4 linked regions of the Astyanax mexicanus genome follow. The protein of the gene in region 1 interacts with the protein of each later gene in a pairwise test. Links are inferred from orthologs where the notes say so. Each region holds a gene or a part of one and is shown in the gene's direction. Other genes may lie near its edges. The genes, in order: nupr1b, ptmaa, psmd4a and ranbp1.

Region 1 (8,592 bases):
CAGCACCTCCAGAAACTCCTTCAAGTCGCTGAGAAACACTATTCCAGGTGTCTCTACCTCATGAAGACACTGAGATTAAAATAGCAAGAGTGTGCAGATCTGTCCTCGAAGATAAATGTGGTACTTAGAAGAATCAAAAGTATAAAACATATTCTGGTTGGTTTAACATTTTTTTTTTGTTTACAAAATAATTCCATGTGTGTTTCTGTATAGCTTTAATGTCTTTAATATTAAATTGTACACTGTTCATACACTGTAAATAAACATAATCCATCTACTCGTAAAATGTTCTCCATGTTACTTGATGCATCTCAAGGCCAATAAAGAGCATGATTGCTACATCTCACTGAGGTAGTGATTATATGAAAAAATATTTTTCAAATTACATCTGGTAAAGCAGATTTCTTTAAAATATGTGGGAAAATCATGGTGCATGGTATATAATGGATGCATGATATAAATTTAAATACAAATTATTCTTATGCTAGTTAGCCAACATGAAGCATATAGAGCAGACTTTCTCTACTGAGACTGGTCTGGGTACAACATATATATTTTTGTTCACTTGCAAAATAATTAGTTACCAATAATGCACATGCAGGCACTGTTTTTGTGAAACCTGCATATGTGAAGCTCTTCCAAAGGAACAGGTTACAAGGTTTGTTTCTATGATAAAACATACAAGGTCATATTTCTGCTAAACTAGGCCACTTCCATTTGCAGTATCACTCTGAGTGATATTTGTGTTTGTCCTCTGAACACATAGAAAGCGTTTGCACTTTGAATGCAAATGTCTGACTTGGCCTGTGAGGAAACTGAAAGAGAAATGTGCATGAAAAACAGCACGTATGGATTAGTGTTGCCAAAAAATAAAACACAACACAGAACAAAACAAAAGCAGGGCTATTTTTTATATTTATGTAAGCAGTAGATTACACTTCAGTTATCTTTTAGATCAGATGTTGAGAAAGGCCAAAGTCTAAATGGAAAGATAATATCCAGTTAATTTTCAACAGGGTCACTTCAAAACATGGTAATTCCATAAAGACAGATTTCATAGCTAAAAAGATCTTTGTTAGCTGAGGATTTTTCTGCTCAGCTAAAAATTCAAATATTTACTGTACCAAACGCTCCTCTCTCACATGACACTATTAAATGTTCAAACTGTTCTGTGCACGAGGAACGGGTGGGGCAGTGCTCTTGCAGGATGAGTAATACATATATTAGTGTAAAACTGCATTTTGTTCCTTATATGTGGTTGGGAGAGTAAGTTACACAGGACAGGCCACTTCTGCTGACCTTTGCATAAAGATCATCTTCATACAGGTGTTGCAGCACAGAAGAACAGTGCATCACCACTCTGCTTTAGAGTCTGCTTAATCATACTGAAGATTTTTTTCAGCTAAATTTGGAAGCATTGGAGAAAGCAAAACACTGCATTCAAGCAAAAAATGTAAAACATGGTGGTGGTAGCATTATGGTTTGGAGCTGTTTTGCTGCATCTGGGCCAGGAAAGTTTGCCATCATTGAAGAAACAATAAATTCAGAAAAGGACATCTGTCTGTGAGCTGAATCTCAAGAGAATGTGGGTTATGCAGCAGGACAACTACCCTTAGCGCACAAGTCATTTTGCCTAAGAATAGATAAATAAGCATAAAATTCATGTTTTGGAATGGTCAAGTCAATGTTCCAATCTTAATTCAATAGAAATGTTGTGGGCTGTGCTGAAGCAGGCAGGTATTGCTGCACAAGTAAGTCACACCTTGTACTTAAAACAAAGGTTCACATACTTTTATCACTCAAATATATTTAATATCGGGTCATTTTGCCCACTAAATAAATGACCAGGTCTAATATGAATTTGAATTCATGAATCTACTTTCAGTGTGAAAATCTGGTGACATTATTGCTCAAACATTTACAGTAATTTAGAAAATTCTAAAGGGTTCACAAACTTTCAAGCTTTATTATGAACAGACAGACTATTGTCAGGTGAGGGCTATTTAGCTAAGATAATAATCCAAATATTTGCTGAACCAAACACTCCTCCTCTCACATGACACCAGTTACAGGTTAAGCCAAAACTGTAGGATATTCATAAGGGAAAGCACAAGACATTATGTATCAAAATGAGTAGTGTACTATACTATAGCACTGTAAAAAATCCCAACAAAAGTTTTAGTGATCATTTGATTAAGTTTATTAAGAAAAACCCTTTGAAAAAACAAAAATCTGGGCTGAGTCAGCAAGAAAATACATACACTGCAAAAAAAGGAAATCTTAGCGTGTTATGGTTAAATCTATGTAAAAAAATATCTGACATAAATTTTTTATGAATTTTATAAGAATATTCAACTTTTTTCTAACATGTTTTAAGCAGTTTATTTTACTGAAGGTGTCTTATTGCGTTGGCAGATATATTTCCTTGTTTAAACATAATTTCTTAGCAAAAACTAAATTTTCTGAAGTGTCTGCAAAGTTATCTGCCAATACAATAGGAAACTTTGTTAGATTAAATCACTTAAAACAAGTACAAGGATGCCATTCTTACTTAAATACTCTCAGAATTAGAAAAAAAGATATGTAGACTACATTTAAGAGGATTTTACTTAGGATAAAATGTTTTTGCTGTGTAAAAAAATGTGGTACCGGGTTCTTTTCGCTGTTGTGCAAGATACGGATTTTTACAGTGTATATTAGAGAACAAAAATGTATGAAGAATGAGTACAGACTTGTTACTCTTTGTTCTTATCCGTGGTTTGAAGACTTTTGTTTAATGTTGCAAAAAAAGTTGAACTGTACTTCAAAGCCTGTTTGCAGTCAGCAGTGTGTGTGTGTGTGTTTGTCTGTACGTGACTGCCGATAAGAAGTACGGCCTGTCCGTCTGACACATTTTCTATCTTTGTTTGTGAATGAAAACACAAATCTTGCCAGCGCATTTCTGCCTCTGCCACACATGCGCATTAGACACACACACTCACACACTCACACTGTATCCATAAACGCTGAGGTCATGTATCCAAGGCACTGTGGTGTGGAATTTCCCAGACCTCAGCTCTAAACATTCCCTCAGACTGTACTTCTCACCATCCCTGCGGCCAGACCCAAACACAGGACACTTACAGGAATCCACGTCACCCAGTAGAAGAAGCAGACAAAACACAAAACAGTGGAGATAAACTGACTGTGAGGGATTCTGATTATCAAAAACTAAAACACTAAAAGTCAAAACTGTGGCATCTCTAGCTCTGCTCACACATGCCTGCCCAGTGTAAACACACAGGAACGGATACGGTGCAAAATGACCGGTCAAATGCAGTAGAGATAACTTAGAACACATCGTACTTTATCAAGGTTACAAAGAAAATCACATGTTTAGTTTAATTTGAACCAGAAAAGGCCTAAACATAACAGAAATGGTATAATATTTTGACTAAATATTGTTAAATCAGAGCAGTCTTAGGCCTTCTAAAAAACGGATATGGAAAACTGTACAATCACCTTGCAGCACAATAACACTCATCAAGCAAAGATTTAGGAATGCAACATCAACCACCTGGAATATCAGAGCAATCACCTATTAAGACCACAGCAATAACCTGGTAGCCACTTTAAAATACCATAGCAACAACCTAGGATACCATGGTAACCTCTTAAAAACACCAATGCAAATTTACACAATAGCAACCACTTAGCAACATCACAGCAACCAGACAGGAAATCAGGACAACAGCCCAGCAACATTATTAACATTATAGCAAATCGAACAACATCATAAAGACATATAGCAACACCATAGGAACCACCTACAGCAGCTGCCACCTGTCAAAATTACCATAGTAACCTTTTAAAAAGACTCTGATGAGCTAAATAGCCTTAAGTGCACCACATGAACAGGTAAGAAGGGTTCTCAGGTAAACATAGCTATTTATATTTCAGAAGCTCTCTAATGCGTGAAGTAAACAAACAGGTTTATGCTAGGTTAGTGGGAAACACACTGCTGCAGGACGTGTGAAGTGTGAGTAAATGAACAGGTGTGGTTCAGAGATATAAACATTAACAACTGTCATCTAAACTACACCTGATATGTGTCTGCTGGTGGAGAGCCAAAAACAAGACAAGAAAGGGAAAAAACACAGAACTAAACAGACTGGATTCCTCCAAAGTACACAGGGTTACACAGAATTATGTTATAACAGAATACAGCAAAAATATAAAACGTACTGAACCATAGAACAGAATACAGTAGATTTATAAAAGAAAAAAGGTCAGACAACACTAGAATAATTACGATATGACAGATCACATTATAATAACACAGAGCTTACTTTTAGTCTCAAAGCAATTTTATACTGCTTCTGTGATTCGGCTCCTGAGAGACAATCCTCTGATTTTCTCAATTTAACCAAAATCATGTCTCATGTGTGGCTTATCCCTTTTTTTCTCAATCATAGTAATCTTACCTTAGTCTCAGCTGAATAAGGTTCATAGAAGATAAGTATAAGATCTCCTAATATAATTTTTGATATTCAGCAGTTTTTTTTTTTTTATAAAAAAAGGTTTCAGAAATTATTCTGAGATTTCTTCTCAGACAGATAAGAAAAGAAAGAAGTGTACTATTAGTATAATTATTTTAAACTGAAATTACGAAAGTATGTTAGTTTGCTAAATGTATAACTACAGTAAACATATACTTCAAGTGTACAAGTAGTAAAGTTTTATTTTGATCACATTAGTAAACTAGTTTATGTACTCAAAGTCTACTACTTGTACACCCAAAGAACACTTAAAATGTTACTTTTATATACTAAAATTGAGCGAATTTAGTACAAAGAAGTATTGAAATAGTACATATACAAGTGTACTACAAGTACATTGATCCTAATATACTTACTAAATAATATTTACTTGTGAAATATATTCAACTTTACTTACTTAAGTTTTCTTAATAAAATAAACTGTATGTATACTTTTTTTTGTAATTGTAGACTAGCTATATTTCTTTAGAAATGCTATTTATATACAGTCACTGTACTGGAATAATGTTGAACTGAGCAAAACAAAACAAGGTCATCTGACATGATGATTTATTTGGCTGTAAAAGGGCAAGGCCCTTCAGATAAACATTAACTACAGTCTGATGCAACTTCAGGCCTAAAGCAGGGAAGAAAAGGAGAGGGGCGGAGCCACTAAACTATATAAAGAGCCAAAGAGGGAGGATGTAAACACAGCATCTTGGAGAAAACAGAGGAATAGATTGGTTTTAGTTTGTTTTCTGAGCTAACTGAACAGTTTTTCCTCAGCTTTATCATATATTGAGATATAGAAAGTGTACGCAATTCCTCATAGCCTAGTTTAACATCAGTTAAAGTGAGTTTTGTTGCCTAATTTAGCAGAAAGAAGAATATAAAGATGAGTCACGTCGACGTGAAAAACCTGAAGCCCACCAGCTTTGAGGATCGCTACTACGATGAATACGAGTATTATAATCTCACAGACCGATACACAGGTGAGTTATACAAGTTTACAGCGGACCAACATGACTTTAAACCTATTTTTAATCTTCTCTTTTTTTTTTTAAGAAAACTTGTAGATAGTCTTCCTGTGTTTTCCTAATAATTGTTCCTATTGTTATTTTTCTATTTATTCCTGTAGTATTTATCTGTAGCCTCGAGTCTCCTTGATATGTTAGTCGTAGTTAGCTACTGTAGCTGTGGTATTTGGCTTTAGTGTGGTGGAGTAGTGTACTGTAATTTAGTGGGGTTTTTTTTCCTCCACCTTCATTCCTGTAGTCCTCCATCTGCTCAACACATTTTCCTGCTAACCTTCTGCTTACTTGGCTTGAGTCACTCCTCAGCAGAGTTCTACTGGACAACATGTGGAGATGTTTAGCTGTACACTCAAAAGAAAGTCTTAACAATCTCAAATCAGTTAATCTTATTTTTCCTCTAATGTTTGTCTATGCAAGTGTAATTATTTTTCTCATTTTATGATTAATGTCTGTCATTTTTATCCCTTATTTTAAATCATTTGGACTGAAAAATAAGTACAAAAAGTCTGATGCTTGTTTTTAGAATGTAAGCCCATCTTTTTTTTTAGTCTTATTTTTTTTACTAATTTTGTGGTTTTGATATTGCTTATTTTAAAAACTCTTACTTCACAGAGTAAAATTTGCTTATCTCAAGATATAATGACATATAGGTTTCGATTTATATACTGTCTCGCTTTTGCCAAAGTATTTTTAAATTTTTTTAATTTTTATTTTTTGCAGTGTAGGTCTGTCACTAACTATATATTATAATCGACCAATATATTGTCCAATAAATAACTAATAGAAAATATTACTGACATTTTAAGACAAATGTTTCCCGTTGATATACCTGGCCAACAATGAACTTTATTTATTTTATTTTTTTTTACAAAATTGATCAGCCAATCTAATTGGAATTGAAATAAAACACAAACAATATTAAAGACAGCTAAATGATGTCATTTCCATATATTGAATGATAATTAAATAACGATTTTATTGAAAAGCCTAGTTAACTGGATAATAGGAAATAGTGCTGATTTCTGGTATAAAATGCATTTGAAATAATTAAATTATAAAGGCCCCAGGTCCCTACAAATATTTCTTTTAAAGCAAGAAATAGCTTTGAACATGAACTAAATGTGGCCATTAGCCACAAGTAGAAGGATTTAGCTCCTGAGACTTTGAGGTGCTGAGTAGCCTCAAGTGCACCACATGAGCATGTATTTCAAAGAAACTGTTTTGTTCGAGCCTTATGTTCTTTGCTGTGTTATCCCCCAATTGTTAAATACTTTGTTTGCAAAAATAATCCCCAAATGTACCATTTTTTATAAAGTAAGAACTGACTTTGGCTTATTAAAATTATTGTGTATATTGAAAGCCCCTCAGGACTGCACCTGGAAAGTGTGTTCTAAATGATGCAGTGAGCTGTTTTGTTTTGGTGCATGTGTGTGATTGAGCACGTGCTTTGCTGCTTGTGTCCTGCAGAGTGCACTAGCCGCAAAGGCAGAACGAAGAAGGAGGCAAGCAGCAACACAAACCGCCCCAACCCTGGAGGCCATGAGCGCAAGATTGTGGAAAAGCTTCAGAACACTGAGAAGAAAGCCAAAGAGTGAAACCTAGCAGGTAAATCAGATAAAACAGTTTTTTTCCCCTTTTAACCACAAAGGGATTGGAGTTGGCCAGTTTACTGTCCAAGAACATCCCTCATTACTTCTGTTAAGGCGAAACTGTGAAATGATATCACTAACGAATTGCCCTCAGTTTCAGAAGTCTAGATAATATTGTTGACTCTGAGATTGACAGATTGTTTTGCTTTGAAATTCCACCATTTGGTCAAACCCATTGGATTTAAACCTGAACCATTGAGAAAACAACTGAATACCTGGTCCAGAAGAGCTGGATGCAGTTTTTACATCTGACACTGCATATGACTTTTTTTGATGATTTGTTTGATGGTGTTTTTTTTATTTTTTTATTTATTTATTTATTTTTTTTTAGAATCCTTCACCAGTTCAGCAGTGACTTCTTCTTTTTGAGCAATAGTTCTGGGATTTTATTTGTCCATTTCTGTGTTTTTAAAAGTTTTTTATATATTGCAATTGTGCCCAACATGCTTTGTTAAGCATTCCAAATGTTTCTTCTCTTTTAGAAAGAATCGGACGGCTTGATCTGGCAACCGACCTTGGGCGCCTTGGCAACGGATATCAAAGGGCAGAAGATACGAGGGACTTCCAAAAGTCCACTCGGCTGTGATGAGATGACTGCTGGCGTGGGAGACCGATGATTCAGTTTGCACTGGCCAGTGTTTGGTTCAGGGTTCACAAGGTTTTTGTGGGCACGTGCAGTCTGCTGGGCCATGCACCTGTTCTGGTGCCTGAGTGAACCCTGGAGAACTGGGTGTGCATGTGCTGTGGTGGTTAATGTGGTGCTTTTATGACCGTCTTTGTTATACATCTTTTTTACCTACTTTTGACTCTCCAGTGGGCTTATAGTCCTTTCTTTTAACATATTAAAATGTAAGTCTTATTTCTTACACCACCCCCCACAAAGTCCTGTTCATTTCATAATAAATTGGAATATAATGTACAAACCTATTGTCTGTTATGTGTATGGATTTGCACACTGAGAAGGAAAGGCTTGAAAGTAATTTGGTACAAGTGTGTACAAGCAGTTTTGGATGTCCCACTACAGGGGGGGTATGAAAGCAACAAGTTGTGACTGGTTAACAGGCTCTATCCATTATACTTTTTAAATGGAGATAAAGCTACTCACTCTAATATTCAGCTATTAACACCCCCAACAGCAAGCACAAGTTGTGCCTCTTCAACAATTATATTAAAACTGAACTGGCCTGGGCTTGACTGTTTCATTATAAATGCATTTTCTTTTCTCTTTTTTTCTCCTTTTAAAAAGGGGGGGGGGGGGGGGGAATTGGTTAAATGGTTTTAAAGCCCCACTTGACAGTTTGCTTCATTGTTACCAGATTGATTGTCCCATAGCACTTATTAAACATTAATTTAAAACTATACTGTGTCTCCATTTGAGTTTTCATTGTAGTT
Region 2 (7,954 bases), on another chromosome or scaffold:
CATCTAATATGGTTTGACTTATATATGATATCTATTATATCAACATATTAACTGGTTGAACACGTTTTATTAAGATGGGACAATTGAGCAAACAGCGTGTAAAGCCATAAAGGGTTTTCTTTTTTTGCCATAAAGTAATGCCATAAAATAACCACTATTTTATCCAACTGTACCCCAATTTAGCTGAGCCAGTTAACCCACCCACTCACTAAAACTCCTCTTATCAGCCACCCACCACTTTTTCGATCTGAAGCATCACTAAGCAGACAAAGTGCTTAGAGGAAAGTGCCATACCCCCAGCTTGGATACATCAGCTATCTGCACATCCAAAGAGAGAGAGAGAGCATGGCCAATTTTGCTCTATTGTCTGTATTGTGATTACTTATCTATTAATACAGACGCTTATCTGAGTTATGACTGCTACTAAAAAAACACTGACCAAAAATATTTAAAAAATATATTTTTATGTTTTTGTGCAGTGTAATATGCTAAATGATATATGTGTTTTGTTCTAATTCACTGAAGAAATATTGTGATAGATTTATGTATTCAAATATCATAAAGTTACAGCAAATCATGTTTACGATTATGACTTTAAGAAAAATGTCCATGTCTGGTAAAAAAAGTTGGTTCCTTTAAGAACCATTGATTAAAAGTATCTCTGAGGGTATAAAAATGGTTCTTCTTTTATGGCATTACTCTTTACTCTAGATGTTTTGCTGTACACTAAACCCTTATTTTTAAATAATTCCCTTGTTGTGATTCCCTCCCCCATCTGCTCACTACACTGCTCTGGAGGCAGATAAGTAATAATCTCATGGGACGATAAGGAAGAAGCATAAACACACTGGCTCCTGTCTCAGAAAGTGGAAGTGGAATCGCTGTGTTTTCTCTGAACAGACAGGATTTTAATAAACGCAGGGTCTCCACGTTCCTCGCCTGAGGGCGTTTGGGGTGCTCAGCAGTAATGAGTCTGTCTCAGAGTTTAGGGGCAGGGCCAGCCAGGGAGATGAGGGCCAACAGAGCTGTGGGCCCCTGGGGTCTGGTTAAGATCACGTGACAAACCGTACCAGACGGCGGCAAAGCAGGGGGATTTCCAGCCAGTCTATTATTGTAGCTGACAAGAAAATAGTCCTTAAAGCATGAATCAGAGATTCAAGATACTGCCCTCTCATGGTCTGTCTTTAAAAGCCAAATCCCCTGTTGTAAAAAAAAGGGTGGAGGGGGGGTGAAGGGCGGTGGAGTGAGTGTGCTTCTTCTTTTTTATTTCAGTAGGGGGCAGCCAATGAGCTTGTTTCTATCTTAATCACACTTTTTCCCATATATACAGTATATTTACTACATTTTTTTTTTAAAGCCCCTTTTAAACACAGACTTATTATTCTGTTATTTAGAAATCATGATTAATAGCTTTGACAAAAATAATATGGAAGTTAACATTGATGTAAAGAGTGAAGAGTTGAAGTGGTTGCCCATGTAAGTACATGTTTATAGGGTTTAGTATAGGCCTTCTTTAAAAGAGGTCAAAATCTCAGATTCTACATTTTTATTGTTTATAAGTTTTTTCCTCTTGAGGTCCAGTTAATACACTTTAATACATTTTTATGCAACAAAAACAGTTAGAATTCACTTTTACACAACTATTTGCCAAACTTTCTATTTCAATTAAATTACACATGCAGTTTGTTTCAGGCTGTTTTCATACCTGGAAGTCCGATCAGAGTCCACATCAATGTTGACCAACTGCTTGAATCTTTGCACCAGGAGTGGCATAAAATTATCCAAAAGCAGTGTGTAAGACTGGTGGGGGAGAACATGAATATGAACTTGTTTTCTTTGCATTATTTGAGGTCTGAAAGCTCTGTATCTTTTTTGTTATTTCAGCTATTTCTCATTGCTCTAAATAACAATATTTTTATTTGGAATTTCTTATACAGACCTTTAAGGTTTAGGAAGTTCAAATATATGTTTTCATAAATCATGTTATTATTCATTTAAACTATTTTTAGATAATAAAACTTACAATACTATATTGCTATGTGCAGATGACTTAACCAAAATATAATCTGGGTAATGTTCTGATTATTTACCAAGGCCTGTTTATATGTATTAATAAATCACTTACACAAGCATAAACTCTCATGATCCACTTTCTTCTTTAGTGTTCTTTTTAAAATGCAGCTCTTTTTCCACCAGGGGGAGAACTGAAACAGGCAAATGTACAAATCTGAAGAAAAATAGTTTTTGCCCGAAATTACTTTCAAACATAAAGAAGAGCTGAAGGTTGATTAACATTCTGTCACAAAACAATCTGCAGTTAATACCAATCTTTAAGCCTGCTAAGAATTATAACCCCTAGAGGCCAACAAAGACAGTCTTGAACTGTCTTGAACTGAACTTAACAACAGGTAAGTAAACCTAATGAATTTGAACTGACCTAATTATCTACAAATGATAATCACTTTAATTCTGATGAAAGTATTTAGGTATATTTAATAATAATTATTTTTTTTACAGTTTGATTTGATTATATTCCTGTGTTGACAATGTTTGTTTTACTTTCTATTTGAAAAGTGTTAGCATTTCATTTTAGTATTTAATTTTAAAGTTTCCAAAATCAAATAGGAAAAGAGACAAATCTTTGCTTCCTGTGACGACAGATGTCATTTTCATTGACATCAGGTTTCTGCTGCACTTCTTATCACAATCTAAACCGTTTTTGTACTCAAGATGCTTTTTGAAAACATAATTTTATTAATTCTAAAGTGATCGTAACTAATATTGCCTAACATTACCTTTATATTTTTTACAGACAATTCTTATCTCCTCCCTAAGGCCTGAACAAACAACCTTTACCAAGTCATGAAAGTGAAAGTGTTCCATTGAAAAAGGAAAGTATAAAAGTAACTAAAAAAAAGTAAATGTGAAGCTTGAAAGTAAAAGTTGCATAGGGGGCTGTGGCAGGTTTACAGACAAACTAAGCAGTTTCATTTCAAAGAGCTTCTCATAGGAGGTTTTTGATTCTCATTTGGCAGAATTACTACATGCAATATGTCAAGTAGTATAGTGCCTCCAGCTCTCTGGGCTTAACCTTGTATCTTGTCATTTTCTTTCTATATCTGTACACTCTTTGAAACAACCAACTTTCTGACAAATTGTGGGAAAACCGTTTGAACAATGAACCAATAGAAAAGCTGCAAAATTGTTACATTAACTTTCATTCAAAGTTAAGAAGGCTGTTTATTCCTAAAATTAAGTTACCACTCCCTATTAATACAATATAAAATAAAACAAATATACAAAGTTTTAATACAAATTATATACAAATACATGATAAATGTGAGATCAGTCCAGTTGGAGGAATGCAAATATGCAATATATGACATAATTAGTCCAGTGGAGAGTGCAAAGAAGCTATATTTTACAAATATTTACAAATAATGTGCAGTACAGTGCCAGCATTCCCAATGCCAGTAACCAGTAGCTGTGAGTCTTTTAAAATAAGCAATGTGCAGTAGCACATAACTTTTTTGTTATTTCAGCCATTTCTCATTTTCTGAAAATAAATTCTCTAAATGACAATATTTTTATTTGGAATTTGGGAAAAAATTTTGTCCATAGTTTATAGAATAAAACATACTCTCTTAATTTTTTCCAATGTTTCAATATATATTTACAATTTCTATACCAACTATTTATAAAAATATGAACATGCAAGATGTTATGCTGGCATATATGGTATAACAATATACTATATTTTAAGAAAAAATAGTTTAAAACCTTAATCTGACAGCATATGTTCACTTATCACTCTAATAACATAAGATAATTTTCATAATAAAGCTTATTGTCATATAGGCTCGTTGTTACACAATACAATCTCACATCCTAAACAACAAGTGTAGAGAATAATAAGCCTGTAGTTTAAGGAGTCTGTGGTCGTCAGTTTAATGTTAATAGGATTCGGGATATTAAGGCAAGAAGCTACAGCCTGTTTATATCCGATTATTCTATTTTAAACGCTTTTGTCGGGAAAAAAAAATTAATCTGGGGAAGGAAAAGGATCCATTCATTAGCAGCAGGACTGTGTCGGAGCGCCAGTACGAGCTGAAGTTCACTAAAGATCCGGATCCGCACATGAATTTACAATCCGTGCTTTCCACAAAGCCGTTAGCGAGCATTTTTATTTGATTGACGTCAGGACGGCCCAATCAGCGCTCGCAAAGCGTCAAGTACACGTTCGCTCCCTTCCCTCGTCCAATGGGGAGACTTCAAGACGCCATACGGCTTTCTAATTCGGCCATTTTGGTGAGGTTCATTGATTTCCGTGTTTTATTTCTTTAATCGTTTATGTGTTGCAGTGATTCCTCGTTCACACTTAACGCTGTAAGTCGATGTCTGTACATCTCTAAACACGCGATTAAACCGGGTAGTCGGCTCGTTATTGTGCTTTTTATTTTCCGTCACGATTCGCAGTCCGCCATGTTTGTTGTTGCAACAGTAGCGCGAAACCAACACGGTAAAAGACTTAAACGGACTTTAACTTGATTTTATGTGTAATTGTTTGAAACACTTTGACAACAACAACAAAATCACGTGGCTAAAATCGATAGTTGCAAAAATAATCCGCTATACCCGAGCTAACTATCAGTATTGCTCGCCGCTGGTCTTAAACGAGCCACTGTTCACTCTGCCTTTTTTTCCACTGATCTGGGATCAGCTCAGTCCAACCCATTATTCAGCTTACAAACACAAGACAGGCGACAAGAGCTGTTGTGAGATCAGCGTACCTAATATGACTACAGCTCCAAACATTCAGCGGAGCAGTAGCGCAGCCTTCGCTTCCCTCCACTTCACAGACAATAATATTTTTCAGCAAAGAGACACTTTGGTAAAGAGGAGGGGCCGATAACTGTCACTCAAACCCGTGAAGGAGCTCTGCTAGCTAAGTACCGCAATATTATCCTTTGATCTTTGCTTATGTGACCTTGTTCAGTTCATTGCTTAAAATAATGAACTTTTAAGCATTACCACTACCAGGGACCATTTAAAAAATACATCCATTTTGACATAAACAAGTGAAGTTACAGTGAATAGTAGGTTAACTGAGATTGATAATTTTGATCCCCTGATTCCTACTAAACATGTTCGCTCATAACACATATAGTTCCTATGTAATAACACCAAGAGAGAGAGAGATAGAGAGAGAAGCGAAATACAACCCAATAAGGTTGTAGTTACACGCTGTTAAGCCAAACAGGATAAGCATAAAGATCTAATTACATGTGTGGTGGCTTTAACAGTGTGTGTCTGTCTGCCTGCTGGCCATCTCTCTAGCTATACGCGGATGGTGTAGAAGGAGGATGGTCTCGACTGACGCGTTTTGTGAGCACAGTCCACAGACATCTCCAGAAACCTTTTCTATTTTACAACAACAAAAAAAGCAGTATAGTCTAAATCTACCGCGTTTTGAGGTGGGGGGCTCGCATAAGTCATCCATCAGAAGAGGACCAGTCACATAAATGAGTCAGAAAGGTTGGTTTTGCAAGCGGGTTCCCTCGGTATAGAAATACTGTCCATTGTTCCAGTCTGGCGAATTAGACACAGCCTACGAATTTTTCCTCCCTCCGACCAATCAGCGCGCAGCGCCCGCCTGCAGGCCCCGCCCACTATTCTATATAATGGGGCTCCGCTGTCGGAGGAGTTTGCCACAGGCACTAACTCACCCTTTATCTTTATTATAAGCGATTTTTTTGGGATTCTTTTTCTTCCCCCCTCCTCCTTCTCTTTACATTCATTTTTTTTTCTGCGTGACCGCATCCCATTTATACACATTTTAGGCAGAAATGGCTGACACAAAAGTCGACACCAGCTCGGAAATTTCCGCCAAGGTAAGAGAATTGCTGGAATTGATGACTTACTGTAGCTTTATGATGAACGGACTTTAGCGTACAATGGGTTGATAGGTTTAGATGTGCGGGGTTTTAGAATAATAAAAAAAAACACTTTTTTTAAACGTGTGGACATATTAGTAGTAATGTAGCTAACGGTGCTGTGATGTATGTGGCGAGGGACACTATTATTCGTTTAATTGTGCGTATATTTGCTGTCGTGGACGTGGACGAACAAGGTTTTGAGTGAAGACTTTTCTGGATGAGGGAAATGTTAGCTAGCCTTAACTAACCTGCGCTCTGAAGTTGGGTTTTTTTTTTTACAGGCAGAGCTAAGATTAGCGTTGTCTCCTCAGTTACACTGTTGTAGTCCGCGCGGGTTCTTCTTTGTTATAAAGGCGTTTCGGTTCCCTCTTTTTGAAAAAAGTGCCTTTGAGCTACAGATTCTAATATCAAAACACCGCCAACTTCTGGTTTGAAGGGAGGAGGGTCGGGTTTGAGCCCGTCAGCGCGGGGGTTTATCACCGGCAGCGGCGGCGGCAGCGCCTCGTCCGGGGTTTGAGGGACGCGGAGATTTGCTGCCTCTTGTTCTGAAATGTGACAAGTTGTCTTCCGCGCCGCGCGGCTCTCTGTCTGCTCTGTCCGCTCTGTTCTCCCTGAACGAGGCCACGGAGGAGAGGGGGCTTGTTTTGACACGTTTTCTTTGGTTGTTGTAGCTGAGGACGCTTTTACTCCACGCATCTCATTATTTCTTTATTTATCCCCGTTCAGCTGCTCGTTTGTCGCAGACACGACCTGCCTCGCTGCCTCGGATTTACCCGGCTGGGCTGTTTGGCGGGGATTTGAGTTTGATGCATCTAAACGTTACGCATGTTTTCATTCAGAACTTAGGGGGGGAATAATAATAAAAAGTTTAAGAAAGCGACCTGACTGTGACCATAAGGACGAGCGGGGGTCTTATTTAAGTTGGACTGACTGGTTGGGGGGGGGGGGGGGGGTGTGGGGGGCTTGGTCTGCGCTACCGTTACCTGTCCGGAGGATTTTATTTAGCTAGCGTTAGCTGGTTTAGATGGTTCATCAGGAATACACTATACAAATGCACGACAGCCTCACGTACCCACTAGTGTTCAGCCTATACATCCTCGTGCCTCGGGACTCCAACTCTCATTCTGTGGTGCTTTCCGTCTGTACACTTGGTGGGAAGGTGGGACATTAGACTATATAATTTGCTCTGTAGTGAGAGAGAAGTGCATTCTTCCTCCTCCTCCGCTCCTTTCTCCTGCTGTTGGTAAAGTTTGCCTCGGGAGTCGTTGAGAGAAGGATACTGCCGCTGTTTGATTAGGCTATTTGTCTTTTGTTGTGCTGTTTTTTTTTGTTGTTTGTTTTTGTACTACTCCGCTCTTGATCAGACTTGAGTGTGAAGATCGTAGCCTGTCGTTTCCGTTTCAGCTGTCCGTATATACCGGCCATGCTGCTGCTGCTCCACTCATTTAATAGCCTGTCCACGGCGGACTTTTATTTATTTATTTATTAACACGCGCGCGCACACACACCCTCACCGCCACCTCCACAAGACATCGTTGTCGTGTGTGTGTATATCCTAGCCTAGATAATTCATCCGAGCCGAGTCTACAAAGCGCTAGCGCTGAATGGTGATGGTGTAAGGAAGGAGGCGTAGCTGCTGCTGCTGGCGTGCTGTAGCGCTAAACGGCTTAAAGACTAAGGATTACGACCTAAATGTATTAATACGAGCGATTTGCCACATCAGAAGATATTCTAGGCGATGACACGGGCCTGTTCTGAAGGTGAAAATAGTTTTTCGTCAGTTTCGACAAATATTATATATCTTTACAAATAAAACACACAATTAATACATTATAAAGAAGTTATAAGTGTGTAGAGATTATGGTCCAGTTATCAGTTATCTGTGCACGTAAAGTCCATTGGGTATGAAATAAAAATCTATATATGCCATGTTCGCTATTGTTCTCTCTCTCTCTCTCTCTCTCGGGTTAATCTACTGAAGCCTCGCTCTGGTGTGTGTGCGTGTGTGTGTGTGTCTC
Region 3 (8,640 bases), on another chromosome or scaffold:
GGGATGCACTGACTATTGAAATGTAGAAAGTGGTACCTACCTGGATTAGCATTACAGAGTATAGAATTTGTATAAGATTAAAAACAGACAAGTGAGTGGAATACAGATGTTTCAGCAAAGTACAATAAATACAATTTAATAATCTGTCAAATCTAAGCATTCCTCTGATGCCCATTTTTAAAGCAATATCCTACTGAAATGACTCCCTTTCCAAGATTGTTCTGCTTCCCTAGTTGCCTTATATTTGCCTTTTCTACTAAATGTTTTAATACAGGTTCACTCAGTTAAGAAATTATTCTCTGATAACTTCTAACTAAAAGCTACAGTTTCCTCTTAACTGTAGCTTTAATATGAATGCTTTATTGGTTTTGGGTTACATGGTCTTCTATTGCTAGTTAGCTATATTAGCCTTAATAGCCACTGTGTAAATGAAAAAAAATCTGTCTTGATTGAGTACATTAGGAGTAAGCAGGATGTTGTGTACTTAAACATTTTCAGTAAACTGTTTTCTTGAGGGACATTAGAAGCAAAGATCAAATTATTACCATAAATATCTCTATGGTAAAATTTATTTGATGAGTTGTCAACTACCATGAAGACAGTTAAGGCCTAAGCCTGTACAAATAACTATTTATTTTTAAAAATGTAATTTATTTCTCTGTTTTACATTTCAAAATGTGTATTATCTTATGCCTGGGGGTTATGCTATATATATATATATATATATATATATATATATATATATATATATATATATATATATATATCATATATCATATATTGCTGATCTTTGTTTTTTTTTTTTTGTTTTTTTTGTTTTTTTGCAAAAACTGAATGGGCAACGTCAGAAACCATGGGACTGTAAGAGTGGCGATCAACAAAGTGAGTTTTAAAGGGGTTTTAGTAATTTTTTTTTTATGGTTTAGTGCAAGTATATAAAAAATTCAGTATACTAATGCACTCAAAAATTGCTGTGCTGGGAGGGCTGAGTTGACCCCATGTTTGTCACTCCTAAGAAATATTTTAAATACTAAGTTCTTATAATTATTCCTTGTTTTTCTACCTTTGAATGAGACTATGCAGATTTTTATTCGCTTTCTATTACAGAAGATGTATTAAATGGGTTACTTTTTGTATATTTTCAGCTGTCTCTTTTTGTGCTGACAGATTTTCATACTGTATTCTGAATTCATTAAAAAAAGAAAAAAATGCATTCTGTTTTCTGTGGTCTTGTGTGATAATTGTTGTTAATAGAGAACTCATTGTTTTTGTTTATATATTTGTATTTATTTAAATATACATGTTTGAATTCCACAGCCTATATATTGCTGACCATGTGCATCCCTTCATGGGCAAATAATTGTATGCATGATTTCATTAAGAAAAGTAATTTGCATATAGTTTAATCTACATAAAAATGTGTTTGTTCTTCTTGAGTGGCTTTCTCACAGACATGATCTAAATTTAAAATAGCATTGTGGGAAGTGATGGCAAGGGAGATTCAAGCATGAAAGTGTTTCTGAAAAACAGATTCAATCGAAATGATCAAACCCCCGTTAAACACAATAGAATTTATCTGCAATATTGCTGCAATATTTTCAGTTGTTTGCAATTAATCAAACCAGAAAAAACTAAATAGCACAACTAATAGCAAGTGTTTTCTGCAATTTTGAAACACAATGCAACTTTTAATGTCTCAAAATTATTGAACCCCTATAAGACGTTTATCTTTAGTACTTTTACACTTATGACCTTTTGCAAGCAAGATGCATAGACAGATACCAGATTCTGGCAGCGTTCCTGAGGAATCATGATCCTTTTCTTATGGGCATTATTGGGTTTGCATGATGCTGCCCTTCAACAAAGGCTTTATATGGCTCTTCCAGGACTTCTTCTGAGACTAAGACTTAGTGAAGTTGAGGTATGTTTGGGATCATAATCTTGTTGGAAGGTTAAGTGATGCCTAAGCTTTAGGATGTCTAGAAACTAGAAACATTAGGTTCACACATAAAGTCAAAAAGTTTAAATAACTATAGATATTTAAACTATATTAGTAGCATATTAGTATTTAATACATACGTGAATTACTACTTGAATCTTTCCAACATGTTGGGGGTTCCCTGCATTTCAATTAATATCCATATGCAAATCAAATACTCTGAAAATCCTTTCTGTCCTTTCTATTTGATGTTAGTTTACCTGTGTTTAGATGAAAGATGGCTGTTTTTATATTCATAGCTCTTGCTCAGAAGGAACATCTGTGAGATGCATTGTGTCAAGCTGTGTGAAATTGTTCAGTTAAAAATGGAACAGGTGGTACAGAGATCTTCACGAGTTATAAAGGGAATGTTTTAATTGACTAATTCTGTCAATTAAACAGAGCTTTTCATCAGATATTATGTCCCAACCACATTGTAAACTGTGTGTGTTAAATCCCTCAAAACGTACAGTTTGCACCACATACCTGCTTTAAACATGATGTTAACATGGGCACTCGTGTGGTGTCAGGTGAGAATGATAGACATATTATTTGCTGTTTTGCAGATACAGGCCAAAGTGCGAGTAGGTGTGTTATAATCCATAAGAACTCAAAATGTAATATATCTATGCCATGACTGGATGGCTTGACTAGTCGGCAGATGACGGGTAAACGGGTTGGACACTAGAAGCACTTTTACGCCCTCTTGAGGCAGGACCAGTGCCTAATCAGACCCCACCTGTAATTATTTACATATATTTCTGATCAAAATCTTAAAAACAGTTTAATAATAGCAAAAATTTGCATTTTGCACTAAAAGAAGAAATGCATGCAAGAGGCAAAAACTTCTGAGCAGCCAATTTATTGGCAACTGCATTTAATATTCAAGTATTCACACGGCCAAGAGCTTTTGGTGGCAGAGAAAAAAAGATTCCTTCAATAGAATATTTCTGTTTTAAGGTTTTTTTTTTAGTTTTTTTTTTAAGCTATGATCTTAAACTTGTGATCATCAGCTGATCAGCCTATTACAGTTAAATTGATTTTTTTAAATAAACTGGCTCCTGAAAATCTTTTCTTGCTCACATTTCTTCTTTTAGCATTGTAAAGCTCTACATAGAACATTAAGTTCCAATAGTGAAAAATTATCATTCTTGACTGGTTTTAGCAGACAAATCTGCAGTTATGCTGAAATCCGGTGCATACAGTAAAAGTTGGTTTGAGCTGTTTTTTTTTTTCCCAGCAGGATCTAGTTTTTTGTTGTTTTCTTATTTGGACTGCTCAGAGTAACTTAAGTTTCATTATCTAATATTTAAGGCTAAATTCAAATAAATAAATAAAAATACATAAATACACACAGACAATTGTTGGTATCGCTTGGATAAAAAGAGAAAGACCCACAATAGTCACAGACATAACTTGACAAAAGTCATAAATAAAAATGCTATAAAAATGAACAAACAAAAAAGTCAGACATTGCTTTTCAACCATGCTTTATTTATTATTTATTTAAAAATATATAAACTTACAAAACAGTCCTGGACAGAAACAAAGTGGATATGCCTTGGCAATTTTTTTTTTTTTTTATCTTATCTGTCCAAAGAACATTCTCCCATTGTGGATTGTCAACATGTCATTTGGCAAATTCCAGTCTGGCCTTTTTATGTTTTGTTTTTAACAATGGTGTTCTCCTTGGTCGTCTCCCATTAAGTCCACTGGCTCAAACAATGACGGATGGTGCGATCTGGCACTGATGTTCCTTGAGCTTAAAATTCACCTTTAATCTCTTTTAACATTTTTTTGGGTTCTTTTGTTACCATCCGTATTATCCGTTTCTTTTATTTGTCATTAATTTTCCTTATGTAGCCACGTCCTATCTATGACAGTACACAAGTAACATGAGCGAAAAAAAAAATCTTTATTTTCATGGGCCCCTCTCCCTACTCGGGCCCTGGGTAGCCAGGTCCCCTTTTTTCCTCCCACTACCACACCCATGCTGCTTGCAGATAGTCTGATAACCTTTACCTTTAAGATGCTTGTCTATAATTTTCTTTCTGATCTCCTGATACAACTCTTTCCTTCACTTCCTTTGGTCCATATTGGATGTGGTACAGACCATGTCACCAAAAAGCACAGTGACTACCTGTAGCGAAACCTGATGCTAACCAGTGAACACACCTTGATTTTCTTTTCATTTGATTTAGTGAAGAAGGAATGGGTTGTTATCTGTAGATATTTATAATTTCTGCTCCTCCCAATCAGAAAAAAATGAAAAAGTAATATCTTCCTAAGTATTTCTACTGTTTCATTGGATTGGATGAGGGGCAGAAATAATATAAAAAAATCAAGAAATCTCATTTCTTATTGACTTATGTAACCTTTATCAGTTCAATGTTCTAACTGGTTAGGCTAAAAAAATGGGTGTAGATGTTCATTATATTTACCTTAATTTAGTATAGTGAAGAAAAAAAGTGGCATTGCTGCCACTTAAGATCTAAATTTCAGGGACAATAGAAAAAAATCTTTGACACTTAATCTTTTAATTTCCCATTTTTGTTTAACAAAAATAGGTTGGATTTTGATCTGCATCAGATTCCGAGAGGAAATTGTAAACTCGAGTAAAGGTTATTTTATTTATCTGATTTCAGACAGGGGAGAAATGAACTAGAAAACTAGACAACTGGAAAAGGTAATGAAAACTATTACTTCTTTAACAAATCTACATTAAATGATCTTGTTAAATTCGGGGTGTTTATATAAATAAAGGAGCTGGGCTGCACTACAGGATCTGAACCAGCCGGCGGCGAGACTGAGGAACTGAAGAACACGGAGCCGTGCTGGCAGTAGCCAATCACGTACGGCGATATGAATACCGGAGAGCCAACCAATCAGCAGCGGCGTTGTTGAGGAGTACAAATTTTCCAAGATGGTGCTGGAAAGTACTATGGTCTGGTAAGAAATAAACAGTGGATATTTGACTGTTTTTAGTGTGTTGTGAGGGCAGCGCGGCGGTGTGCTGTAGTGTAGGGGCGCGGGCTGAGCGCGGTGCGGGGCTGTGGTAGCGGGGGGTGTGTGTGAGAGCGCGGTTAGAGGAGCGGTGAAGCTCCGGGGAGATTCTCCTGAGTCATTATTACCCGGTCGGGCTGAGAGAGAGCCTAGCCTAGCGATCCGAGCTTTTAGTCCACCGCTCACAAACACGCACACCAGGCGAGATAGAAACACCGAGCCGCGGGGAGGACCCGCGCTGAGAGCGGCTGAAACCCGCGACTGTGAACCGCCGAGTCTCCCTGAACACGGGCTGTTTAAACGGGGCTAGGTCATGCTAACCGGCTATTAGCGGACCTAACGCTGCTCCCGTAGCGGCTCTAAAGATCATCCTCAGCCCGGCCGGAGCGATCGGTTCATTAATCTGATCTCCTGAAAGCTCTAGACACAGAATCAGGGATTAAATACAGTACAAGTACAGTAGAGTCAGTAAAGAGAGCAGCTACCTTAATGCCAAGTTTAGCTAAGAGGTTATAATGGCTAAGCTAATGCTAGCTGTTAAGTTAGCCCACTTTATTTGTTTGTAAGCTAGCTAACTAGCTACTGTAGAGCTTATTTTTGCTGTTAAACTCTTTGCTCCATTATCTCCATTACATTTTACAGTTATTATAACCTATGTTAACTCTGTAGTTGGATGTATTCATGGATGACTAACCTGACTCAGCTGATGTGGCACAAGCCTGGTGTTAATTAAGTTAGTTAGTTAGTTAGTTAACGTTAGTTAAGAGGTCTAGTTTTAGGACTGTGATTTCTCTGTGATCACGCAGCAATATATTTGATCTAGTTAGGCAGTTTAGTATTTAAATCAGGGTTAGTTCTATTGTTAGGAAATAGAAAAGTCATCTAACGTTTAGAATTCACATTGCATGTCATCCCATGCTAGCGTAAGCATTTAGCTAGCTTGTTAGCATTTGTCACATTTTTTTTTAAAGCCACCTCTTAGCTGTTGTAGTTTTTTTCCCCATTTAAGCACAAATATATTGTTTTTTTTATACTTTAAACAGGAATGTCTTTATGCTTTAGAGTAGGGTCCTTCTAGTCCAGTTATGTGGAGCCTTTGTTTAGAACAGTTCCACCGTTTCCGAGATTAACTCACCTGGATCTAATTGTCTGTTAATTACCTGATGATGTGGGTTTGTTTTGGCCAGGAAATCTCCAGATTGGGCACTGGATTTGGAGAATCCCTGCTTTTTAGATTATAATAGCACCGCATGGGATGTGATGAGTTGACTCAGTACCCCCTTTTTCCAACCTTAACTTTTTTAAAAAACAAAGTCATCTATTTGTTTATAAGTAACGTTAAACCTAATGATGGCCAAGAACGAGATGCTATATATTTGACAAGCAACACAAATTATTCTTCCTCTTACTATTTCTATGTACTCTTGAATTATGTCTTTTTGACATATTGTCTGAAATGTTAAAAAAAAATACATACAAATAATCAGGAGATTTAAATTTTGTAATATATTGCTCTGAAGGTAGTTATGCTGAAATAAATCTACTCCATAATTAGTAGGTATACATATACACTCTAACACCAATAAATTACCACTCTCCTTTCATGGTTAACATGTGCCAGTGCCATATACATTTTGTTTCTGTGTTTATGACAAAGAAGTGCTAAAAACCCTGCTTTTGCGACAGTTATAGCACCATTTAGGATATTAATTTTAATACATAATAAGTATGCATACAATACATCAAACTTTTTAAATACATGAAATTGTAACTTCACTTCCACGTTTGACATGAACAAGTGCTACCGTGAGACTATTATAGCATTATTTAGGATATCGTGACGTAGCTGAGAGCCCTCTTTTTTTTCAATTTTAACTTTTAAAATAAGAAAAAAACCCTTCAATTTTCGTCAATGTTTACTTAATAATGGCCATGACTGAGATGCTGTAGAATGTTTAGGAAAACACAGTTTAGGAAAACTTCCAAGGGATTAATTTACTTTTACCTTCTTTACTATTTTTTTGTACTTTTTATTGATGGATTTAGCTAGGTGTTGGCTTTGTTTCATATCCATCTTGTGATGGATGTTTTTTTTTTTTTTTTTTTTTTTTTTTAATGGTGTAATTATAGCCTGGAAAACTAACTAAGTAGGGACCTTCCAAACCTGGAGTCTTTATACTAAAATCACTTGAGTGTACACTATTTACTGCAGTCAGCTGATCTCTCTTTTACTGACTGCGTGATTACTAGCACCGATTGCCTGGCTTTCTGTCAGATTTGGCCAGTCACTTTGAAGGAGTTGAATATTTGTTAGGGATGTAAGCAAATGGTAATGTGGTATTGTATCAGGGTTTTGTATTACAATACAGAATAATAAAAAAAAACATGGTATGGGTTTTTAAAAATGATTTTATATGTAAAGATTGGTGTCAGACTTTAGTTTATTTAGTGTTGTGTTTGACCCTGAATATTAAACAACAGTGTTGTACATTTTCTTCAGATCTCTCTGTTCTTTTTGGATAAAAATTCAGTTTGAACAATCACAGTATATTGCATTTCTTACAGTGTCACAGTACATTGCAGTTGCAGGGCCTTTGATTTCAGAAACAAAAGGAAAAATTACATCGGAAAACCCCAGTAATGGGGAGAACATGGCTGCCATCTTGAAAGCTGCCATATATTGTTTCTGAAATACAAGGCTTACTCTGTATATGGAAATCATAACCCCTGCATTGTGATGCATATTATATTGCCAAGTTCTTGCCCATACACAGCCCTAGTTTATGTAGTCAGTTATTTAAATATTTTAATTTACTTTGACTAACAAATTACTATGTTTTTGTAAATGTATAAAGTTCTTAATCATTCTTGATCATTTTACAGGCACTGTATGATTTACAAGAGACTGATACATGTTTCAGTTTGGCCAAAGTATCTCTAAGTGTAAATGCATACATTCACTATACTCCTCCATTTATTGTTTATTTTACAGTGTGGACAACAGTGAGTACATGAGAAATGGAGATTTTCTGCCCACCCGACTACAAGCACAGCAGGATGCTGTTAATATCGTTTGTCACTCAAAGACCCGCAGCAATCCGGAAAATAACGTGGGACTCATCACAATGGCAAAGTAAGTGCTTTTTGAACATTAGTAGGGTGGGTCAATATGACTACATGTATCCATAATTGTGATAAGTTACATTACAGCATATCACAGGATTGTTTCTGAGTGTATTACAGATATTACCAATATTTATACAACTCTGGCTCTATATATGTGGCACCATTTAGCTTTTTTTAATCTTATTTAGCCGTGCTGTGTTTTGTTTCTGCTGGTTGTTCTTTACTGATCTGGTATTTGTTGTTTGGTTGCAGTAACTGTGAGGTCCTGACTACTTTAACGCCCGACACGGGGCGCATCCTCTCCAAACTGCACGCTGTTCAGCCCCGTGGCAGGATCAGCTTTTGTACTGGCATTAGAGTTGCCCACGTAAGTAAGATTCTTAAGTGACCTACACCAAACGGTGTCCATTCCATTGGCTGATGCTCCTAATGACTCACTTATGGCTCTTTTGTGTATGTTCTGTGTCTTTAATAGCTGGCACTGAAGCACAGACAGGGCAAGAACCACAAGATGAGAATCATTGCTTTTGTGG
Region 4 (8,121 bases), on another chromosome or scaffold:
ATGAAAATCATACTAAATAGAAAAAAAAAATTTTACACCCAATTTTTTTATTTTTATTTAGCGTAAAATGGTCTAATTCAATGAAAAGTCTGAATCTGATCCTTCATAGAGTCCCCTTGGAAGTTGCAACCCCCAGGTTAAGAACCCCTGCTCTAGACCAGGTTAGCATAGGCTAATCACCTGTTATGCTAATTATATTAGCTGGCCAGTTTGTTTACAGAGCAGTTTAGAGAAGGAACACCATCAGTTTTAAGCCTAAAGGACAAAGAACGTTCCAGAAAGAAGGAAAGCAGCCGGAAGATTGAGAAAGAGATAAGATTCCTCCACTGGAGCGTCGCTATATCGAGCCGATACAGCAGAGAGAGGGGGGGTGGAGGAGGGTAGTAAACAGTGTGTGTAAGCAGAGGGGAGGGCACTGATATTTTAAAGTAATTTAATAATTCTGTTATAAACAGGTCGACTCGGGAGCTATAAAACGCTACAAAACCGTGGTTTAAGTGCTAATCAGGAGCACAGTGCACTGCAACAACAACACACACTTTCAAACAAGAGATTTCCAGTTAAAACAGACAAAAAAAATTACATTTTCAACAATTTAGTGGATTCAGAAGAAGTCCAGGAGCAGCTCACCTGTTTCTGACTGGGGCTGAAAAAAAGAAAAAAAATAGAGGAAAATTTGCACAGTTCAATTAGCCTTAAAATATAGATTTATATATATATTTGGTAATAGCTTTACACTGGAGCTTAAAAAGCTATTATAGCTAACTAGCAGTGGAAGGTTATCCCCCACCTATTAGCATAATGCTAACTGCATGTGTAGATTTTTATCTAATATCCAAATTTATAACTTGTTCTGCCCAAGTCTAAATCACAATTTAAATCCCAATTCTTGTCATACATTGATTAAAAATCGATAGCTATATTGATGTCTAGATTGATATTTGATAATGTGGACAAACAGAAACCACATTTGACCAGTGTAGACACTCAAATCAGATTTTAGCGAATCATTTATGTCAATTATTCACAATGCGACAAACAGCGACTTCACTAAATTCAGAGTAAGAAAAGTGTGAGGATACCTTGAAACAACAGAAGCACATTCAGATACAGAGTGGTGGGATGAAATAAAGATAATGCGATAATTATTGATACGTGGATCTTTAGTAGCGCAGATGCTGTGAGGAACCATACAGTATTATCCTCTGAGTTGAGTATCTAGGATTGCTGAATAATCAATATCATAATATTATCGTATGGTTAGATGCCCTGCAGATATGTTTGCGATGTCAAGACAGGCAAGTCCGATCCCATCACTCAACAGCAAATCAGAACATTATACATCATCAAATCTGATTTAAGGAACAAATCCCATTTACATGCAGTCTGAACACCATATACACAGCCATATATGATTTAGTCTTTATTATTTGGTTACATTTTAACATTGATATAGCCCAAGATTCTACTGCAAAAATACAAGAACAAACTTCAGATTAATGTCTACACTAATTGAGCACCTTTCGATTCCAAGCTGTTACCAATCTGAATCCAATTTTCGCTAAACTGGTTAGCTTACGAAAACCTCTGAGTTTCGTAGCGTTGGCTCCCCCTACAGGAGTTAGGAGGTAGTATTTTTTTTTATTTATGTTCGCGGATGTCTTAACAAAGTAAAACAACAAAAGAAAAAGAAGAAAAAAAAGAAAAAGCAATATGCTGCACAATTAGGAGGGTGTGTGATTTCTCTTATAGAGGGATGGAGGGGTTATAAACAAGTGCAAAGAGGAGGAGAAGGAGTGTGGGGAGGGAGGGAGGGAGGTTTTGGGGGGGTTTGGGGGTATTTAAAATAAAAAGAAGTATATGTATATTTAAAAATAAAATAATAAAATAAACTCTGTGACTTGCGAGTGCAGTCTGAGGCCTATTGCTGTGTTATTGGTGTTTCAATTTACATAATGTAACATTGTTCTTCTTTTTCACAATTAGGGATATTGTGTGTTTGATATATTGTGATACATTCTGCGATGTATTTAGTTGAGTTAGTTTTGTCCGGTTTCATACTTCAGTTCAAACTTTACTACACCCTTTTAGTCCTCATCTCCTACATAGGCGGAATCTCCCTATACTAAACACACACTGATTAGTTTGTAAAATTATGTATTATTATATAGATGTATTACACACAGAGTGATTTATTTTAAGCGTTTATTTATTTTATTGTAAGTGATTATTGTTTACAGCCAATGGAAACCCAAAACTCAGAGTCTCAGGAAATTAGAATATTATATAAGACTAATTGGTACTTTTTCCTGCTGGAAAATGAAATCCGCATCTCCAGAAAAGTTTTTCTCAGCAGAGGGAAGAAGCATGAAGTGCTGTAAGATTTTGTGGGAAAACAAAACTGCACTGACTTTAGACTTGATAATAAAACACAGTGGATCAACATCAGCAGATGACACGTCTCTCCAAACCATCACTGATCATCAGTAAATTTTACATTTCATTTAAAGGAAATCAAGGGATCAGAGTCTGGAGGAAGAGTGGAGAGACACACAGTCCAAAGTGCTCGAGGCCTAGTGTGAAGTTTCCACCAATCAGTGATGGTTTGGAGAGTCATGTCTGTCATCTGCTGGTGTTGATCCACTGTGTTTTATTATCAAGTCTAAAGTCAGTGCAGTTTTGTTTTCCCAGAATATCTTACAGCTTTCCTCTGCTACTGACAACTTTTATGGAGATGCAGATTTCATTTTCCAGCAGGAGTTGCACGTTGCTCACACTACCAAAAGTACCAATGTTTTTTTTTTTTCTGAGACACTGATTTTTGGATTTTTATTTATTTTAGATTTGGAATTGAATCCCAGTCTCCCCCATGGTAGCTCACTGGCATGCAGTGGTGGTATCCCCACAGCTATATTCTGCACTGGTCTAAATCTAAACTGGTCAACCAGTTTAACCATGATTACCAGCTTAAACCAGCCTGGATGTTTTTATTTTCAGCAGGGACACATCATTTCCTGTACGGCTCAGCTGACCCTCTGTTATCATCATCCTCCGAGCTGGGCTGGACGTCCTCCACAGCTATATACACACAGTTCGACCTGGACTACAGTGTGTGTGTTTAGTTATACTGGTGGGAGTATGATATATCTCCTTTTCTGCCCTCTGTTAAAGAAAGGACAGATATAAACAGAGACAGGCCCTGTACTCCCAGCATTCCTCCTGCCTGCACCCCACAGGCCAGTTCTAATACTGGTTATACTGGGGCTTTTCTGTGTGCACGTGGCGCCCCCTGTTGGATCTCAGAGAGAGAGAAAAAAGGAATAAGGGTGATCTGAAAATGATGTCCTTTATGTTCTTCAGGCTTCAGAGATCTCTCTCTGAGAGTTATATAACCCTTATAACCCTCACAGGCATGCAGTGGGTGAGGGGTAGTTTATGACCTTTATGTGCATGAAAGTATCCATCCATGCATTTATTCTCATACTAATGATTTTATCCATCAGTCAGTTTAGATGTGGGATTATAACGATGATAATTTATTAGGGTGATTACAATATTAGAGTGAAATCATTAAAATTTACTAGAGAAAACTGTTTAAAATAACTGGAGGAGACTATATACTTTAAACCTGTTGTTTATTCACAGTCATTGTGGATTATTGTGTTAGCTGTAAAGCTAATCTAGCTAGCTAACAAATAATACTTGTTACATAATGGTGTATCAAATGGACAAAGACACAGTTACAAACAGTATTTTTATACATAAGAACTCCATGCTGTGTTCTTTTACTCTGATGTATAAAAGATTTACTTCTATTTGAGCATCACCTTTAAGCAACTTTACCTGTGGACTGGAGGGTCTCTGATAAGCTAAAAACGTTTAAATCTTAGAAAGTATATCATTAAACAGAATTTTAATAATGAAAATATAACAGTAAACAGTAAAATCCCCTTTCCCAATTAAACACGAATGTTTATGCTGTTATTGTCTGATACTTTTTTTAAATTTAGTGTGATAATGCCCTGTACCCTTGGATCTCTGATCCTAGAATCACCTATTATCTATCTAAATTATTATACTTCTTCTGATATGACCCACTCACCTCTCATGGGGCGTACAGGGGCCTGAGTTCCTCAAACCTTGATTCTTATAATGCATTTCCATGACTTATTAAAAGCGTGGGAACAAGATAATTAGGTCGTGGGGATGACTTATATGGCCAAGAGCTATTATTTTTTCAGTTCCCAAGCCTTAGAGAGTTACTAAACCCTCTGATTTTAGCTGACTCCACCCTCAGCTCAAATTATATAAATGCAAAAAACAAATGGGAGTGGCACTGTGTGATGTATGGGTTTAGAGGCAGGGCAGAAGGGAGATTTGATTGAGCTGAGCAGTGTGCCTCTGATAACCAAAGTACATGATAACATAATCCTCGCCTATAGCACGAAGGAGGAAATGACTGCAATAAAAGTGTTTTTTTAAAGGTTTATACATTTTTTTCAGCTATAAATGAAAAAATATAGTATAGGGTTTTGTGCCTTTTTAATAAGTTGTGGCCACGCATTTTCATTATTCATTATTATTATTATTTTTACATGATGTCACTGAAGGTGCGTCATGCTTGTGTGTTACTTTCTGTGCTCTTACCGCTCACTTTACTACGCTAAAATCAAAAGTACAAATTTTATCGATTTGTTTTACGTTTATTTAATCGATTAATGGAGATGTACGTAATCTACAAGTGACGTCACCGCCGGTGCCGGCGATGACGACACGCCGGTTCAGTGCGCGCGCGAAAGCAGGAGCATTTTCTCCCTCCCTCTTCCCTCCTCACGGCCGGAGCGAAAAACATCCACTAAAACTCAACAATCCGCAAACATCCACAAAACTATGGCAGATCCTAAGGTAAGGACGGTGTTCTGGGGAACGTCTGGGGGTCCTGCGGCCGTCTGCTGCGATTTTTAATCGTTAGGATGGTTTTAATCCGCCTGTTTTTGGGCTGGAAGCGGAGATGGTGAATAGTAAAAGCCGGCTGTTGCTTTACTGCAGCGAGCGGCCAGTCCGGCTACCGGACACGAACCCGGGCTAGCGGGCGGCGGGAATGCCCTGATATTTGTGGCGTTTTGTTGTTTTAGACGATTTTTAAAGCTGTAAAACTAATATGCGCTTTTTCCGCACTCCTACAGCTCGGTTTACCGCCTGTTTCCGAGCAGGTTAGCTCTGCTTTAGCCGCGGCGGCTAGCTAATGTATCTGTAAATAAATGAATAAATCGGTTTTATTAATTAAAGCTTCATTTTATTGTTGAATATATTGGCAGTCATTATTTGGTTAAAGTGTTAAATCCTTGTGTTAATGTAAAGGTACCTAAATAAATAAACTAACCTAGCTAGCTAGCTAACTAAGCTAACTACTATATGTCGGCTTGCTGCCTAAGCTAACGTAACTAACTAGCCGTTCTACCTTAAATGCTGGGCGCCAGAATGAAACCGCTGCGGGAGTTAACGTTAAGGTGGACCGGCTAATTCGAGCATCAAACCAAACTTCAACCTCTCAAGCTTGCGATTTTTTTAATTTATAAAGTTTTTTATATTTATTTTGATTTAATTGATTAAATAATTAAAGGCCCAACTTGAAATAGTAAGCTTAAATAGCAAACCTGTTGAGCACCATTAGCTAGCTCAAGTTAGCTAATACAACTGCAAGGCCTAATAAGCTAACATATTGGCTAAAGCTAATGAATGCTAATGGATAGCTTGCTGGCTTTTGATTCATTGATTGACGTTTTGCTCACTAAATAAAGTAACCAGTATCTTAACCTGCAGTGCACCTAAATGCAACGATGAGTTTGAATGAAAAGTAAAAAAGACTAATAGCTATGTTTTGTTTAGCATTAGCAGTTAGCATTAGCTTTTTAGCATTAGCATGCTCCTGGAGGAGCACATGGGCTTCAGATGACTGGTGTCCAGTTCAGCCCAGTACAGTGGTGGGTGGTTCTGAAGGTGCTGGGAGTTAACTGGTGGGGTTAATGAGGGCGGTGAAAGCAGGTGAATCACCATAATTGCTGGGTAATGTTGCTGGTCTTTGGCTTTGTTATAGGTGATGATCTCTCTTGGGTTTAGACAAAGTTTTGGACCACCTACAATGGATCTAAAGGAGAGGGAAAGTCTATTGTAATGGTGTGAGACTAGGCCTTGTGAGCCTGATTGGGTCTAAGATGGGATAAACTAGTTCATTTAATTCTAGGATGTCTAGGTTTTAAGACATTAGAATTAGGCATGAGCAAAATGTTTGGAACTTTCTTCATGGAATGAATAGGATGCAGAAGCTTGTGCATCCTGGTTTAAGTCGTGATAACAATCACTTGGCAAAGCCCTAGTAACCATCTGAGACTGTAATCTGGGAATCAATAAAATGCTTTAACATAAACATTTATAAGTTTGCAGTTTATAGATTATTTTGGTACTAGACTAGTCAACTAATCTGGTTATTTTTCCAATTAGTGAATGGCTATTGCAGTATTCAGTATTCTGTGACCATGGTCCACAACTAAGGCTCCAACTAATGATGATTTTGGTAGTCGACTAATCCGACTATTACTTTTCTGGATATTCTCAATTAATCAGCACTTATTTCTGCAAAGCCTTCCGTCTCTGCGTGCTGTGGGTACGGCCTCTGTAGACTTAAAACATTAGAAACAAGTGAAAGTGGCAATTAAATACCATCCTTTGACTTTGGAAAGTACTGCTATTTAGCGAGTAAATGTGTAATCTGTTGTGTTTGGACACTTTTGGAGACACAGGTTGAGGCTGGAACTCCGATACTTTGTGTAGTTCTGCAAATGAAAGATTAGTCATTGAACATTTGGAGTCGACACATTTTTTTATAGTCGATGCTGTTGATTTTTTTCAACTAATCGTAGGAGCTCTGTTCACAGCCTCACCTGCTGAAGACTGCACTTTTTGTGAATGTTACCCTGTTGTTCAGTCTCTGCTTTAATGTAACCCACTTTATAATCCAGTAGCATCCACATCAAATGTCAGAACAAGGCATCTACCTGCCAATGTGATCAAAACCACAGAAAATACAATAACAGGGCAACTTACCTGTATTCCATAGCAGTCACCATATGTTTCACCATATAACACTAGATAGCAACATGTTTTTTAGCTATTGTCTAGAAGTGGGAACCATTCTGCATAATCTTCTGGAAACATTTTATTTAAACATTTATTTTCCTACGCCCATGAGATTCACAAAATTGTGGTTCACTGTACTGAAACATACAGATTCTGCTTATTTTACAGTTATAATCTGGCCCAAAATGTGGGTTTACTACCTTACAACATACCACTTTTTGCTTCATACTGTGCTAGTAAGTGCTGTTGGCCAGCCATCGCCTCAATCACCACCTCACCTGCTGAAGTCTACACACCTGTGAATGTCACCCTGTTCTTCAGCCTTTAACTTAACATAAAACAAGTTCCCATAGCAAATTAAATAATGACTACCTGAAATACCAGGATAAAGCAGCCACCTGGAACACCAGATCAGCCTTTAGCTGTTCTAAGAAACCTATTTTGTGTGGAAACCAGATGGACAGGTGTCACATTTGGCATTCTAACAGTATCATATCATCTGTTGTCTTCCGTTTACCTTGGAAGTCAGATGTTGGAGCTAGAAATTTCACCTCGCCTGAGTTGGCAGCATTGTAGTTAAACATTACAATAAATTTGCACAATTTCAGAATGTTTCAAACAGTTATCTAAAGATAAATTGGTTTGGCATTCATTTATCAGTGTATTTTGGTGAATATAACCAAAATATCTCACTCTTCATGCCCCAGGTTAGCACCAGATGAGCGTCTAAAATTTCCAAAAGCCATGTTTATATGGAATGTAGCATTAATTGCATTCTGTGAATCAGAAAATTAAAATTTGTAAAGTTGAGTAGATTTGAGTAGTTTGATGGATCATCGTCTACCTCACGTTTTGGGTGTGGGGGGTCTCTGGCGGTGGGTGGGGTGTGGCGATACCCCCGTTAAACCCGGACTCTTCCGGTGCGCCGGGCGTTGGCGTGGTCCGGGCTCGTGGTTCAGTACCAGCAGGCGGGAGCCTGTCTGC

What was found.
Region 2: the proteins of nupr1b (region 1) and ptmaa interact in binary tests that used the Homo sapiens proteins (3 or more experiments, as listed by UniProt). The link is inferred for Astyanax mexicanus from reciprocal best matches to the Homo sapiens genes NUPR1 and PTMA.
Region 3: the proteins of nupr1b (region 1) and psmd4a interact in a two-hybrid assay, tested with the Homo sapiens proteins (2 studies listed by BioGRID and IntAct). The link is inferred for Astyanax mexicanus from reciprocal best matches to the Homo sapiens genes NUPR1 and PSMD4.
Region 4: the proteins of nupr1b (region 1) and ranbp1 interact in a two-hybrid assay, tested with the Homo sapiens proteins (2 studies listed by BioGRID and IntAct). The link is inferred for Astyanax mexicanus from reciprocal best matches to the Homo sapiens genes NUPR1 and RANBP1.

What each region holds. Positions count from the first base shown.
Region 1 is NC_064426.1:34,461,633-34,470,224, reverse strand, and holds nupr1b (nuclear protein 1b), read left to right. Parts: upstream 1-5,201; 5' UTR 5,202-5,412; coding exon 5,413-5,509; intron 5,510-7,018; coding exon 7,019-7,146; 3' UTR 7,147-7,156; intron 7,157-7,682; 3' UTR 7,683-8,559; downstream 8,560-8,592. UniProt on the Homo sapiens protein: Transcription regulator that converts stress signals into a program of gene expression that empowers cells with resistance to the stress induced by a change in their microenvironment.
Region 2 is NC_064412.1:25,140,546-25,148,499, forward strand, and holds the start of ptmaa (prothymosin alpha-A), read left to right. Parts: upstream 1-4,245; 5' UTR 4,246-4,260; coding exon 4,261-4,308; intron 4,309-4,335; exon of another isoform or gene 4,336-4,350; coding exon of another isoform or gene 4,351-4,386; intron 4,387-5,688; exon of another isoform or gene 5,689-5,846; coding exon of another isoform or gene 5,847-5,891; intron 5,892-7,954.
Region 3 is NC_064410.1:30,609,093-30,617,732, reverse strand, and holds the start of psmd4a (26S proteasome non-ATPase regulatory subunit 4a), read left to right. Parts: upstream 1-4,818; 5' UTR 4,819-4,901; coding exon 4,902-4,927; intron 4,928-7,973; coding exon 7,974-8,114; intron 8,115-8,359; coding exon 8,360-8,474; intron 8,475-8,582; coding exon 8,583-8,640. UniProt on the Homo sapiens protein: Component of the 26S proteasome, a multiprotein complex involved in the ATP-dependent degradation of ubiquitinated proteins.
Region 4 is NC_064429.1:10,915,098-10,923,218, forward strand, and holds the start of ranbp1 (ran-specific GTPase-activating protein), read left to right. Parts: upstream 1-4,765; 5' UTR 4,766-4,890; coding exon 4,891-4,905; intron 4,906-8,121. UniProt on the Homo sapiens protein: Plays a role in RAN-dependent nucleocytoplasmic transport. Alleviates the TNPO1-dependent inhibition of RAN GTPase activity and mediates the dissociation of RAN from proteins involved in transport into the nucleus.